3 linked regions of the Drosophila melanogaster genome follow. The protein of the gene in region 3 interacts with the protein of the main gene of each other region in a pairwise test. Each region holds a gene or a part of one and is shown on either strand. Other genes may lie near its edges.

The links.
Region 1: the proteins of CG32987 (region 3) and CG13887 interact in a two-hybrid assay, tested with the Drosophila melanogaster proteins (one large-scale study listed by BioGRID).
Region 2: the proteins of CG32987 (region 3) and mRpS26 interact in a two-hybrid assay, tested with the Drosophila melanogaster proteins (one large-scale study listed by BioGRID).

The regions. Positions count from the first base shown.
Region 1 is NT_037436.4:835,855-840,757, forward strand, and holds CG13887 (uncharacterized protein), read left to right. Parts: upstream 1-2,006; 5' UTR 2,007-2,266; coding exon 2,267-2,770; intron 2,771-3,248; coding exon of another isoform or gene 3,249-3,299; exon of another isoform or gene 3,300-3,395; coding exon 3,396-3,578; 3' UTR 3,579-4,077; downstream 4,078-4,903. Other genes in the region: CG42554 (uncharacterized protein), read left to right, coding at 1-16, 82-699; CG13901 (uncharacterized protein), read right to left, coding at 929-1,597; JMJD5 (jumonji domain containing 5), read right to left, coding at 4,204-4,903.
Region 2 is NT_037436.4:18,104,273-18,108,325, reverse strand, and holds mRpS26 (mitochondrial ribosomal protein S26), read right to left. Parts: upstream 1,748-4,053; 5' UTR 1,665-1,747; coding exon 1,456-1,664; intron 1,360-1,455; coding exon 891-1,359; 3' UTR 827-890; downstream 1-826. Other genes in the region: Polr3D (RNA polymerase III subunit D), read left to right, coding at 1-364.
Region 3 is NT_033779.5:8,861,336-8,865,490, reverse strand, and holds CG32987 (uncharacterized protein), read right to left. Parts: upstream 1,681-4,155; 5' UTR 1,637-1,680; coding exon 863-1,636; 3' UTR 644-862; downstream 1-643. Other genes in the region: CG32988 (uncharacterized protein), read right to left, coding at 1-587; CG32986 (uncharacterized protein), read right to left, coding at 1,812-2,684.

The DNA of each region.
Region 1 (4,903 bases), on a different chromosome or scaffold from region 3:
CGCACCACTGAACTTGGTAAGAACCCGAAGAAAACATCGAATTTACATGGTTTTAAATGGAATTACCTACCCAAATCAAAGGCTCATTTCCACGAGCGAAGGTCGGAGCGATTTATACGCAATCACCGCTATGAGGAGGCCATTAAAGCGCTGGAAACATCCCTAATCTACATGCAGGATGCCCAAAAACGGGTGGCTCTGCCCAAATCCAAGGAAGTTCTGGACACATTGACCCTCGATTTTCAGCGCAAACTGCGTCAAATTGAGATGCGAAAGACGCAGCATGGTCTGAACAAGCTGAAGGATTATGCTCCCTTGAAGGAAACCAGTCCCATGCTGCCCCTGCGACCAGAAGCCGGAGCAAGTGGAGGCGCAGGAGGATCCGCTCAGTCGGTGGCCAAGGCAATCGACAAAACAGTGCAGGACTTCGATGCCAAGTTCACCTCCTCCTTGGTGGCAAAGGCCTCTAGCACACTGGCCCATTCGGAGCCCCATATGGAGACGCTGAAGAAGAGCGATTCTGCCCAGGAGGAGCAGGAACACGATACTTGCGATCAGCGGCTGGCGGGCAGTGGAGACCTGGACCTGCCATCCTTGGCGCCCTTGGAGTTGCCCTCCTTCGATTACAGCCTGTTCACCAGCTCCTCGGCTCCTTCGTTGGCCAGCTATGCCGGCATGGCTGAGAGCTTCCAGAAATAGGCCTGGTTAAGATCCATTTGTAAAACTTCAACTAATTTGAAAGATCTCGTGGTAATGCAGTGCCCGCTGAGTGGTGATTAGGATTTAATTTTAGGCACGTTCTTCATTTCAACGTTTTGTGCAGTTCCCTTTGTGAAGTGTATTTGGGAATTCTCTAAATAAATTAAATTAGGTTAATTCACAATAATAATAATAATAATAATACTTTGTGTATTACAATCTAAGTCGTTTATTTGGCCATCAGACCCTTCAGCAGATCATCCATGTCGGTTTCGGTGTCGACATTCTTGAGCAGAAGCAGCACCTGTGCCTCCATCTCGCAGAGGATATCTGGTTTCTGGTAGGTAATGATCAGCGTGTTGAACTGGTGGTGGACAGAGAGGCTCTCCTGCGCGGGCTTGACCCCACAGCGGTCCAGTTCCGGGACCGGGATGACCTTGTAGTACTTCTTGTTCGAGGTGCGCACGACTATGGCACGCTTCTCGGGATCGGCGGTTACGCTGTATGTGTCCAGGGAGTAGGGCATGTTGCGGATGCGCCACTCAATGTTCTTCTTGGTGATCCGCTTGGTCAGCAGTGGCGCGGTGTTGCTCTCCCGCAGGGTGAAATCTCCGCCGGCCAGGGAGTCCGTTTCCTCGCCAGATCCTGGTGGCTTGTTGCCCGACCAGTTTAACTGACGCGGCTCATCGCCCAGCTCGATTTCCCACTCCGACTCGCCCATGATCTTGTTGCTCTTCGATTTCCAGGCCCGCCGCTGCACGATTCCCGTGTCCATGTTGTACTCCTCGGCCATTTGCCTGCCGTCCGGGAATTTGTAGAGCACCTTGCGGGCGCGGCCACTTATCATGGAGTTCTTCTCCGCCGCCTGCAGGTAGTTTAGCCAGTTCTGGTAGGACATCTCTGGGGATTGATGGGATTACCTAGGCACACGTCTCCGCCGGAGATTCGAATATAACAACTGAACGGGGCAGAAAATTTGATCGATGGCGCAAAGTTGAAAATTTGTTGAGAAGCACATTGCGATGGAAACCTGGCAACCCAGCTGCCAGCTTGTTTACATCGCAAGCCGGGTTACCAAGGCACTTTAAAGCATTACATACAATACCTTATGATCGATTTGTCTTGTAATATTTGGAGGTAATGGTTAATTTTAATGCAAAATACGTACTAATTCTTGCCATTTTTTTTACTTACTAATAAAATGATTTTGAAATTCGAATATTTTCCATGAATTCAGCTTTTTTCTGGCTACCCAATTTACAGTTGATTCCAGCGCGCGAGTTGGCAGCCCCGTGCGTACACAAAAAAACAGAGTTGACGTGGCCGGCGCAGTGACTACATAAAATATACGCATATTTCATCACGGCAGCGATTTAATTATTGCTATTTAAAGTAAGCAGCCAGTCACTCCGGCCGTAGTTTATAAATAGCCACTAGACCGTCCGTCCCGAATCCGTAGACTTAGCAGCTAATTTGGACGCATTTCTGCTTACAGGCGGCAGTCGAAAAAAGCGAAAATCCAAGAAGCGAAAATCGAACGAAAAAGGGAATTAATAAAACATTAAAAATGAGTTTGGTGTGGACTTTGATCGCCGGATTTCTCTATGCGGAAATCGCACTGGTCCTTCTGCTGGTGCTGCCGGTGCTCACTCCTTACCGCTGGAACCGGTTCTTCAAGTCCAAATTCCTATCGATGTTGGGACAACAGGCGCACATATATTTCCTGCTGATCATGGGAATTCTGGTCATTTTCCTCCTGGAGGCCATTCGCGAGATGCGCAAGTACTCCGGCTTGCAGCAGTCTAACGAGGTCCACTTGAACGTGGAGATGCAGCACAGCATGAAGCTGTTCCGTGCCCAGCGGAACTTCTACATCTCTGGATTCGCCATTTTCCTTGCCCTGGTCATCCGGCGACTGGTAAACTTGATCTGCACCCAGGCCAATCTCATGGCCCAGAGCGAGGCTTCCTTCAAGCAGGCACAGAGCGCCACTGCAGCCGCACGTTCCTTGCTGGAGAACAAGAACACCGAGAAGGCCAAGGAAGCCGGCGAGGATACCACTCTCATCGAGGTGAGTCCACGTCCCAAACCCCTGCATCCGATCCCCAGGAATGGCATGTCTAGAGAGCTAACACCTAAGACTTTGGAGTTCAATTGGCTACTACCAGCTGTAAAGATATGGCAATGCATATAGAAGGTGTGGTCAAAATATGGCGAGATAATGTCTTTAGCCGACTAAATCTATAAAATCTATACTTCATTCCACTTTCTGGTACATTTTCTCAATTGGTTTTGAATATAAGATACGAAAAGGCTTTAAATGTAGTCTATTAACGATATAGAACTTTAAATACCAGTATATATCATGATTAAAATCTTAAACGTAAACTTAAATCAGTTTGAAGACCGAGTGAATTTGTCATAGGCTTAGTGCTTTTGTTTTGACCGCAGCTAAACGTTTTGAAACCACACCCAAACACATATGTTGGGCCACGATAAACAGAAGCCACCACTCGAAAGTTTAAACCTCTTGTTAACTCTTTAAACAGCTGTCAAGACTGCGGAGACGTGTGCAAGGACTCACCGCCCGAGTGTCCTAAGTATCCCCACCTAGAGCACCCACCTTATATCCATTCCCAAACACCCAAAACGAACAAAAATCCAATCGAAACTCAAACGAAATCCGAATTTTGCAGCTCAACAAGCTGCGCGAGCGCGTCCAGGAGCTAACCTCCGACTTGAATCGCGAAAAGAAGGACAAGGAGGCGGTTAAGTCGCAGGCGGAGAGCATCAACCGCGAGTACGACCGACTCACCGAGGAGTACAGCAAGCTGCAGAAGAAGATAACCATCGGCGGAGGCGGAAACAAGGATGATTAAACTCACTGGAGCCAAGTCCAACATTTAAATAACGATAAGACTTATAAGCATGGCGGTGGGGCAGCGAAAGCAGGCACATTTAAAAGATTATAACGATTTCAAATCGATAGAAAGCACACACATCTTATTGTTAATCCTCATAGATACAACTACATATACCATTTGATAATGATAATGGGGTATATTGATAATGGTCCCTCAACTCAATGTTCGTTTCGTCCGAAGTTTTGTATTTAATTCGTATGTGTTAAGTTTTGTTTGCCACAGTAACACACCCAAAAAGCGTCGTGGCTATTAAAAGAACAACCAAAAAGTACCCATCCAGTTGTGATCGATTCGATGATTCATCTGTTGGCGCGGATAGTCCACATCATGTCTGATAGTACACGGCAATGACGTCAGACGTCGCAACCTGTTTGCATACTTGGAGCTTAGAAATCGGAGGCGTTACATTATCGGTGTGCGAAAAGGGCATCGAATATGTTTCCTTGATAATTACCCAGAAATGCTAATCAAATTCGCATATTTAGTGATCTATCGTGGTTTTGCAGTGCATACTTTAATCTTAACTTGAACAGAGATCATCCTACATAAATTTGCTGTTCAATAAACTGCATTAAAATGCTTACTCCCACCAGAAGCTTACAGAGAAGCTAGGAGCTTCAGATCTCACATAGTGCCACCATTTGGGTGGCATGTACAAACAGTCACCAGGTTGCAGGAGCAGCTGGTAGAACTTCACCTTGGCTACCAAGGGATATGTTTCAGGATCCAGTTGAGCAGCATCTATTCGCGCTGTATTGGCCAAAAACTCACTGTCGTGGGGATACAGATTGTCTGTGTCTGCAGGAGCAGCTAGGATGATCCTCTTCGAACCGAATACCTGGCACAGCAAGTTGTGCTTGGGATCGTAGTGCATGGGAGATACGGTTCCAGCTGGTCCCAGCCAGGCTTTGATGTCCACAGCTCCTGGGGTATCTTCGTTGCTGATGGTGCAGTAGTCGGGAATGGATATATCCTCTTTGAGGGCTGGTATCTGGGCGAAGAGCTCGTGCTGAGCGAGATACTCGATATTTTGGCCAGCCTTGCTTGGTTCCTTTCCGAATTGTCTGCTCAGGAAGTCGCGGATCTTCACCAGCTGCTGGGACCATTCATCGCTGGCATAGTTGGAACCTATTTCAATGGGCACCGTGCGATTCCCGGCCACTTGGAGAAGGTAATTGAGATCCAGCCATTTGTGCAGTGCAGGCCAATGCTGGATGGTGTTGAGCAGGAGTGTGGGTTGTCCTGCCTCAAAGCACTTTGTCTGGAACTCTTCTAGACTG
Region 2 (4,053 bases), on a different chromosome or scaffold from region 3:
TAAAGGAGATCATCAGGCCACCAGTGAATCGGAACCAGCAAGTCCTGCAGACAAATGCTCAAACGGACCCAAGGGCAGTGTACTACGGCAGCTGGAAGAAGGGCAGATCGGCAAGATTCTGAGGTACAAATCCGGTCGCGTTAAACTCCAATTGGGGGACACACGCTTTGACTTGGATATGGGTCTCGATCCGGGTTTTCTGCAGGAACTCATGTCTGTAACCGCCAATCGCGAGCAACGTAGTGGAAACATGATCAACTTGGGACCCATTCAAGCCAAACTAAAGGCCACTCCAGATTGGGTGCACCTTTTCCAGCAGCAGGATGCGGCATCCAAGCGAACGAATCCAGTACCGGGCACGTAGCACCCACTTCCCCATGGTAGATATGTAATATAGTAAATAGGCTGCGCCTAAGCTTAAGTTATTCCTATTCTAAATGCCGTATATAAAAGTTAAATATAGAAATTTTTATAATACAAATGCTTTTCAAAAGGTTATTAACAATTGTACTCGAATATGGAACATAAAAGAGACTCCAAGAAAGATGGGCTTGGAACTTGGGGATATGTAACGTAAATTAAGCCATCAATACTTAATGCAATGACCCAAGATTAATTTTTAGGTTAATGGATTGTTGATATATTATATGTTCAAATTAAGTGATTATTATAATTTCAAATACGGTCTTAAAATTTGAAAAGTATTCTAGTTCTAGCAAATCGCTTTACAATAGCTAGGTTATCCAATTCCTATTCTTTTGCGCAAATCAAATATACTTAAGTGTGTTGTTTATTGTGCAGAAAAATAAAAAAAAACACGGACTTTCAACTTTGGTTAGAAACCTATAAAAAGCATTTTAATGTAACAACAAACTAAGACACTGCATTAATTAATTACTCAAAACTTGCTGGTTGGGTTCGGGAGTGGCGTCCGGGAGCTGAGAGGTGCTTCGTCCGTGGTAAAGATTACCGGCCATATCGATGGCGAAATTGTGGTCCACGGGATTGGCCAACGCTGTCTCAATGGCTGCATCCAAGTTTTCCCTAGTGATATAGTTCTTGGAACGCTCAATCTCGAGCAGCACCCGCTGGTTGGCCTGCTCCTTGCGCTCCTCCTCGCGCAGCTGTTGTGCCTCCAATCGCTCCTGAATATAGGCCACCTTTTCCTCACGCTTCTTGGCCAATCGCTGATCACGCTCCTTGGCTATGGCAGCGTTCCAGGCAGCATTGGCATCCAGGCATTTCTGGAACTCGGCCTCCTCCTGCTCGGGAGTGAGCACGATGTGATCTGCTGTGGATGTTTCCTCGTGGCGGACGACTTCCTCCCTTAGAAACTGACGCACTGAGCGAAGCTGCGTTCTGAAATCAAGGCGTAGATTGTTTTGTATAACGTCTTTTGAAACCGATTACAAATTATCTTTGACCAGAGACAGAATCTGGCGCTGGTGCACGCACTTGTACTGGTTGTGTAGCCTCATGAGCTCCGTGCGCTCCTCCTCCGACTGCTTCTTGCGTTCAGGCACGCGGAACATCTTGCTCTTGGCCACCGGCAGCCATCGCGGTTTCCTGCGCCAGCGGACGAACTCGAGGGCGAAACTATTTCCGACCGTCTTCCCGGTGGGCAGGGTGGACTGCGTCAGCAGCTGGCATCCCGCTCGCAGCATTATAAAAGCAGTTTAATTAACAAAATGTAATTTTTACTTTGCCGCTGCTGAACTGTTGTGCAACTCTGTTGTCGGTGAACTGGTTCCGCGCAGTTCGATTGCTGGTTCCGTCAGTGATGACCAATATGGAAAATCGAAGAATCAAGGAATAAATCAATCTTAACAAATCAAATTCAGATAGAAAGGCAATAGTAATTTGGTTGTCAACTTACTAAATTTATTGTCGTACATATTCATATTAAAATATAATTATATACTCAGCTACATAGATATATTTTTAGGTACAGCTTAATTTTGCGTTGCTAACAAGTTTTTGCAATTAAATTGCGCAGGTTATGAATGTTTTTTATTTGTCCAAAGATACAAGCTTTGAAGTCCAGACAGATCTGTTGTGAAAATAGCCAAACTTCCAACGCACTAGTGCGTTTCTCACAATTGCGCTGCGCTCAGCTCGGGCTTAAAAGCTTTTGGCCAGGTGAACTTGACGGGAAGGTACGAAAAGTAACTGCTCACTCAGTCGACGATATATCGCCGCGCTGGCCGCATTAAAATCCGAGCTACGGAACTTCGCTGTTTCGCCTCTTGTACGTGGGCTAACTTAAAACAAAAGTGGCTTGCGCAGCCGGCGCGCCTTGAAAGTGTGTGTGTGTTCGTGTTTAAAAAAATAGTGTGCGTTATTGAAAAGCTAAGTCAGTTAGAAGCAGTGTGGAAAGTGCATATTGTATATATCTCTTGCCAAGGCTAAAAGTGTTAAAAGTTAACTCCCAGAAATGCACACACGCATACCGATGCAAGCGAAAAGTTAAAGCGACGATCATTCATTACTGCGTCTTCTTCTTATTCATCTGCTCTTTGCGACGTGTTTCGCTTACCTGTCCAAAAAGCCCGAGTATTGGTGGGCTCCACAGCTCCATAGCTCCCTCTCTCTCTCGCTCTCTTTCGATTTGCACATGCAAAAAGGCAGCAGCAGCAAGAACAACAACAAAAACTCCATCTGAGAGCTTTAAAGCCGAAGTTCTCGACGCAGACGTCGGCGGGAGCAGAGCTTCAGCAGCGCAGCGGCAGCGAACAACTCGTACAGGTTTGTTGGCATTTTTTTTCACATTGGCTTTTGATTTTTGTTTACCTCTGATTGGAATGGCAATTCGCACTGGTTGGACTGTAAATATTGTCTCATATGTGTGTCTCATGTATCCCAACCGCTTACCACGCACAGAATCGAATCGAATCGAATTGGATCGCTTCGTAGCTGGAAATTCTTATAAGGCGATCAATTTTGCATATCGAATTTGTTCAATTGCTTGAACTGCACGAAACAGGGGTTCTATTGTTCTCTTTTAATTAAATAACTAAAATGGGTAATGTAGACTTTCCTTTTTAAAACTTAGTGCCTTAAAATGCCACATCTTCTTTTCTTATAATTTAATTAGTGTACCTTAACTGTACGATTAAAAGTTTACTGCTCTCTAATCGTTGGAATGTTTATCTTATGCAACTTTTTCAATCTGTTTACTTTCACATTCTCCAGCATTTAAGATAAGATTTTATATCTAAAAACGTGATTTAAACAAGATTAATACAGAAAGAATGCAAAGTTGTTGGATGATAACGACAATGTACTAATCTAATTCCCTTTATTTCAATATAAATACTTAATATTCCCAACTATTTAGGTTAGCTTCTGTGATAGTTTGAAATTACCTATCAAATTGTGAGCTTAACTTATTTAAGCCAGTAAATTCCCGCTACACAACTTATTTTCCCACCAACATAACCTCGTTTGGCTTATCAACAACGCTCATTAAAAATTCCGAAAAAGAGTTGCAACTTCGGGGCACTGCACCACGCGACGCAGAAGTCAAAAGTCTTGCCTTGAACGCCTGAGCAAGTGCAAAATCTGCTTGCTAATTTATTTGCCCATCTCCAACCTGAGGTCTTTGAAAATCTAAACACAAAAATGTGTAGGAAAATAATTATGCCAGCAGCAGCAACAACATCAGCAAGTAAAACAGTTTAAATGACTTTCAGTCACGGCAGCTCAGCAGGTGTTGGCTAAAAGGGGGAAATCTGGGGAATGGGCGCTGACTTCAACTTAAATATGCAAACTTTTTCCGCGCTTGGAGAACATTCGCAAATTCTGATAAGAGTTCCCCCCAACTGTAAAACCTAATTAGCAAATGTTGTGAGGCAATTAAACCAAATTACAGTTCTCCTTCTTGCCCGTGTTGCAAGTTGAAAGGCAAGTTGAAGAGAAAAAACAACAACAAATTTGTCACAAACTGTCGCAGTGCGGCTTTGCACTTAATTAAGAGGAAAACAAAAGCGAAACGTGAAATTCAAAAAAAAAAAAAAACTTATAAAGACTAGCGCAAAAAAATTTGTTTCAAAG
Region 3 (4,155 bases):
ATGGCAAGTGCCAGGAGATACCGCATATCATTGATGATCAGGAAGAGTATTAGCAGGACGATCATGGTGACGGTGAGCAGCAGAAAAATGCAGCAAGTACAGATAATGTTGGGTAGCAGAACCTCCGGACTTTTGGCCCCATACAAATGCAGCAGGGCCAGCAGGGATCCGGCAACCAAAATGGCAATCAAAAGGACCCAGACGCGCACTAGATGCATATAATACGCTCCGAACAGGGTGAGAAAGAACAAGGATCCCAGCACCAATCCCCAGCATAACAAGGTCAATGCTGGAGTCTGTGCGATGCAGCCGAGCACTGAGAGAATGATGAAAGCTAATATCAGCCAAACGAACGGCGGCACTGGAATTGCCTTGTAGACCCTCACAGCGAGTGCCGACAGTATGATCCACGAAATGGAAGACAGCAGGCACAGCACTACGGAGGATAGGTACACCCGGAAGATGAAGGCCCGCAACTCCCGCTCGTTGATGACTAAGACCTCCGGTCCCTCCGCAGGAACTGGCTCGCCACCAGGTCTTCCGGTTCTAAGGCCATAACGACCCCAACCCCGATTGCGATTATTCATGTGTTAATCAATTATTTTAGGTCAATATAATGTAATTTTGAAGAAAAAAGCAAAGTAAGTGATTCATTTTCTCTTATATTGAGACTAGGACTTTTCATAATACTCTGGCTTTATTCTAATTGCCTTGCAATGAGAATATATTTATATTTTCTGTACCGCCTAGGCTACACCGCACTAAGTAATTAGACTGGATGACAGTATCCTTTGGTCTGGAACACCATAGTAACTTGCCAGATCGCTAATCAGTTTCGATCACACAGTGACAGCTATTTCTCTCAATCAAAATCATTTTCGAGTGAAATTTTCGGAGCTTCAGATGTTTGTCTGATGGCCTCCTTTCTCTCGTCGACCAGGATGAAGTAGCACACGCAGAAGAAGAACATCATTGAATGCAAGTATAAAGTCAGGGTGCAGACCATGAGGTGCTCTTCGGGAACCACTTCCACGACGTTCAGACGGCCATGGTTGAACTGCGCCTGAATGGGGATCGCTATGATCAGCATCAGGAACAGAATGCTGACGAAGGTGTCGAGCAGCTCAACACTCCCGGTGCAGAGCTGGACGATTCCCACAATGGTCAAGACCAACAGCAGTGCCATCATCAGCAGCGTGGAGCAAACACCGCCGGGCAGGAACTCCTGCGGGCACATGGCCCCAGAGAAGTTGAGTAACATAATGATCAGGGCCACGCCGATCATCACGAAACTGATAATGAGCGGGCTCAAGTCGTGGATGAAATGGCAGCCAAACAAGGTGGTACACACAACCACCAGACCTGTCATGAACCACTTACAGGGAGAGTAGTAGGATATTCTCGGGATACAATGCATGCATATCATCACCAGAAAAATTATTAGAGCCAGGACGTAGCAGGGAAACGGAAGGTACCTCTGCAGGTGAATATGGGTCAGCATGAGCAGAATCCATGCGCCCACCGTAATTCCGATAAGGATCAGGCCAATGTTATAGATGCTGCGGATGAACTGGGTCATTGGGTCCAGCTGCTCGATCGTCGGCCGGATGTTGTCCTGGTGGTAAATGTTGTCCATCCCGTTAAAAATCCTTATGGACCGAGTGTTAAGACTAGGTCTGGCCTGCACCCTGACACTTACCTCCTGGCAAAGCTGCTCACCTTCTATATCTTTTATTTACAAATTGGTATCTTTTCTCATTAAAGCCTTCTTTTTATTTTACACGGACACGTTAAATTAACTCCTATAACTCTCACCATTTGGGAGCCCAGATGACAAAGTAAAAGGCCGCAAAGAACAACAGAAAGTGCAGATAGATGTTGACGGCGCAAATAACGAATTCGTAATCGGGCAGCTGGAATCGCCTGGAATGAACCACCTGAGCATGGTAAACGGATGCGGGTATTAGCAAAGTGGCCAATAACGTGAAGTACACCAACTGGTAGATCCAATTGTCTGTGAAGATATACATGGTCATCACAAAGATTGAGGACATCACGAAAATGACGAGCAGGAGGAACATGGTCCTCTCTCCGGGGAGGATGATCTTGGGTATCCATGCGCCAGCGAAATAGCATATCACAGTCATGGCGGAGGCCACCAGAAGGGCAATGCACACGCGGGAAAGGTTCCGCTCCAGGAGAAGCAGAATAACGCCCAAACCTGCCAGACTTACAAACAACCCGGCCATGATGAAACTATACCAATAAAAACTCCGCAACTTGGTCAAAATACAGAAGACAAAGAGAAACATTAGGGACACCATTGCACTTATGAATCCTGCCATTATAAGATCTGCCTCCGGAGGAATTACCTTGGACAGGATTATGGCAAGGATCGCAGTTGTAGTCGAAAACAATCCAGCCATCATGTAGCAGCGCCGCACAAATATTATTTTCGACGAGTCGCCATTTCCGTTGTCCAGTCCTCTGGAGCCTTCGCCTTCCACAACCGAACGTCGTGCCCTTAATCTACGGGGTGCTAAGCGAAGCTGGTGTATCGAAGGATGCTCGTATCGAACCAAAGTTCCAGGAGCCTGCTCTTGCTGCTGTGGCAAAGGAAAGTTGAGAAGCTGGAGGGCTGGTGGATAGATGACCCAGTCATTTCTTAAACTGCCTCCTAACATTGGGAGCACTTAGAGGGCAACCACTTAAAATTTTGACAAAATATTTATGGCACACCCTGATTGGGTACGAAGACATCCCTAAAAACATAAACAATACTAATACTACTAAAAATTACTAATAGCCAAAATAATACATAGCCTGTAAATCTGATTTAAGAACTGGAAATATTTATATACACCGTATATATATAACAATTATCCTAAGATTAAGATTCGCGGAAGAGATAATTACGGTGACTTACCGAATGCGATGGCATGCATAAATATTTAACATTTTATAAATCTAAGCAGTATTATTCCGTTCGATCAGGGCGGAAAACTCAGCGAGGCATGCGGAATTCCAAGGGGACTACAAAGCCTGCAAGGAAAATGCTAAGTAGCTCCGATCAAAGCTAACAAAACAGCCACAAAGGATGCTTACTCCTTTCCCCTGCCTGCATTGTTTGTTGTTGTTTTGCTGATCGCTTGAGTGACACGCAAAGCAAAGGATACAAGGATACACTGGAGTAGAAAGGCGATCCCGAGATGTGTTTACTGCCGCATCTGCGGCCTCGATCACAATCACTTTCACAGACGGTTGATGCTTGATGGTTGACGGTTGGACGGCATTGTTCCGGCTATGACTCAATCTCAATCAGCTGGCTACGCTTATCCTTGATCCCCGCTAAAGACATGCAAATGCCAAGGCAGCAGGCGATCGGGGAGAATGTCAGTTATCTGGCAGCTGCAGCTCAATGCAATAGATACGCTTGCAGTCGAAGGAGTATAACCCTTGAGTTGCCAATCAAGTCGTTAGCTCGCCTGCTCCTCATGATTGGATTATTGAGTTGGTAAAAAGTGAATACCTTTCGGAAATTGAAAATCAAGTAGCGGATGTCAGTATTAGGATTAGATTCTATTTTCTCTGCAAATTTATAAAACATTTTTAAAGCTAAAAAGAGCAACTAATTTAAAATAACTCATACGACTTGTTTATTGATCTTTCTCTTGCAGATTTCGGCCTTGGGCCACATACATATATATGGACTATTTACTATTCTACAATGGCCCCTTCAGGGCAGGTCAATGTACCATGGTATAACATTTTCGGCTTATATTTTCCACCCACACAACGCTGACAACGATGAAAGGGCCAACGACGAGAGGTCGGGAGGAAAGTGAAAGCGTTGGCAAGTGCTTGACAACAACGACATGCGAGCGTATGCAGTGGACCAGGCCATTACAATCCACATCACCATCCTAACCCCACCTCAGACAGCCCCGGACAAACTAACGGCATTTCCCCCGTCGACTTTTCCCGGCCCTAACTTCATTTGGGATTTTGCATGCGAACACGAAAATGTTCGGGAGCCGCAAAAAGCACAAGCCAAAAAGCTTACAGAAGCGTAACGAACGAGAACCGCCCGGAGATTTGGAGGAGGAAAAGGCAGGGCGGGGCAGGGCAGCGCGGAACAGGGCTGGGAAGCGGCCA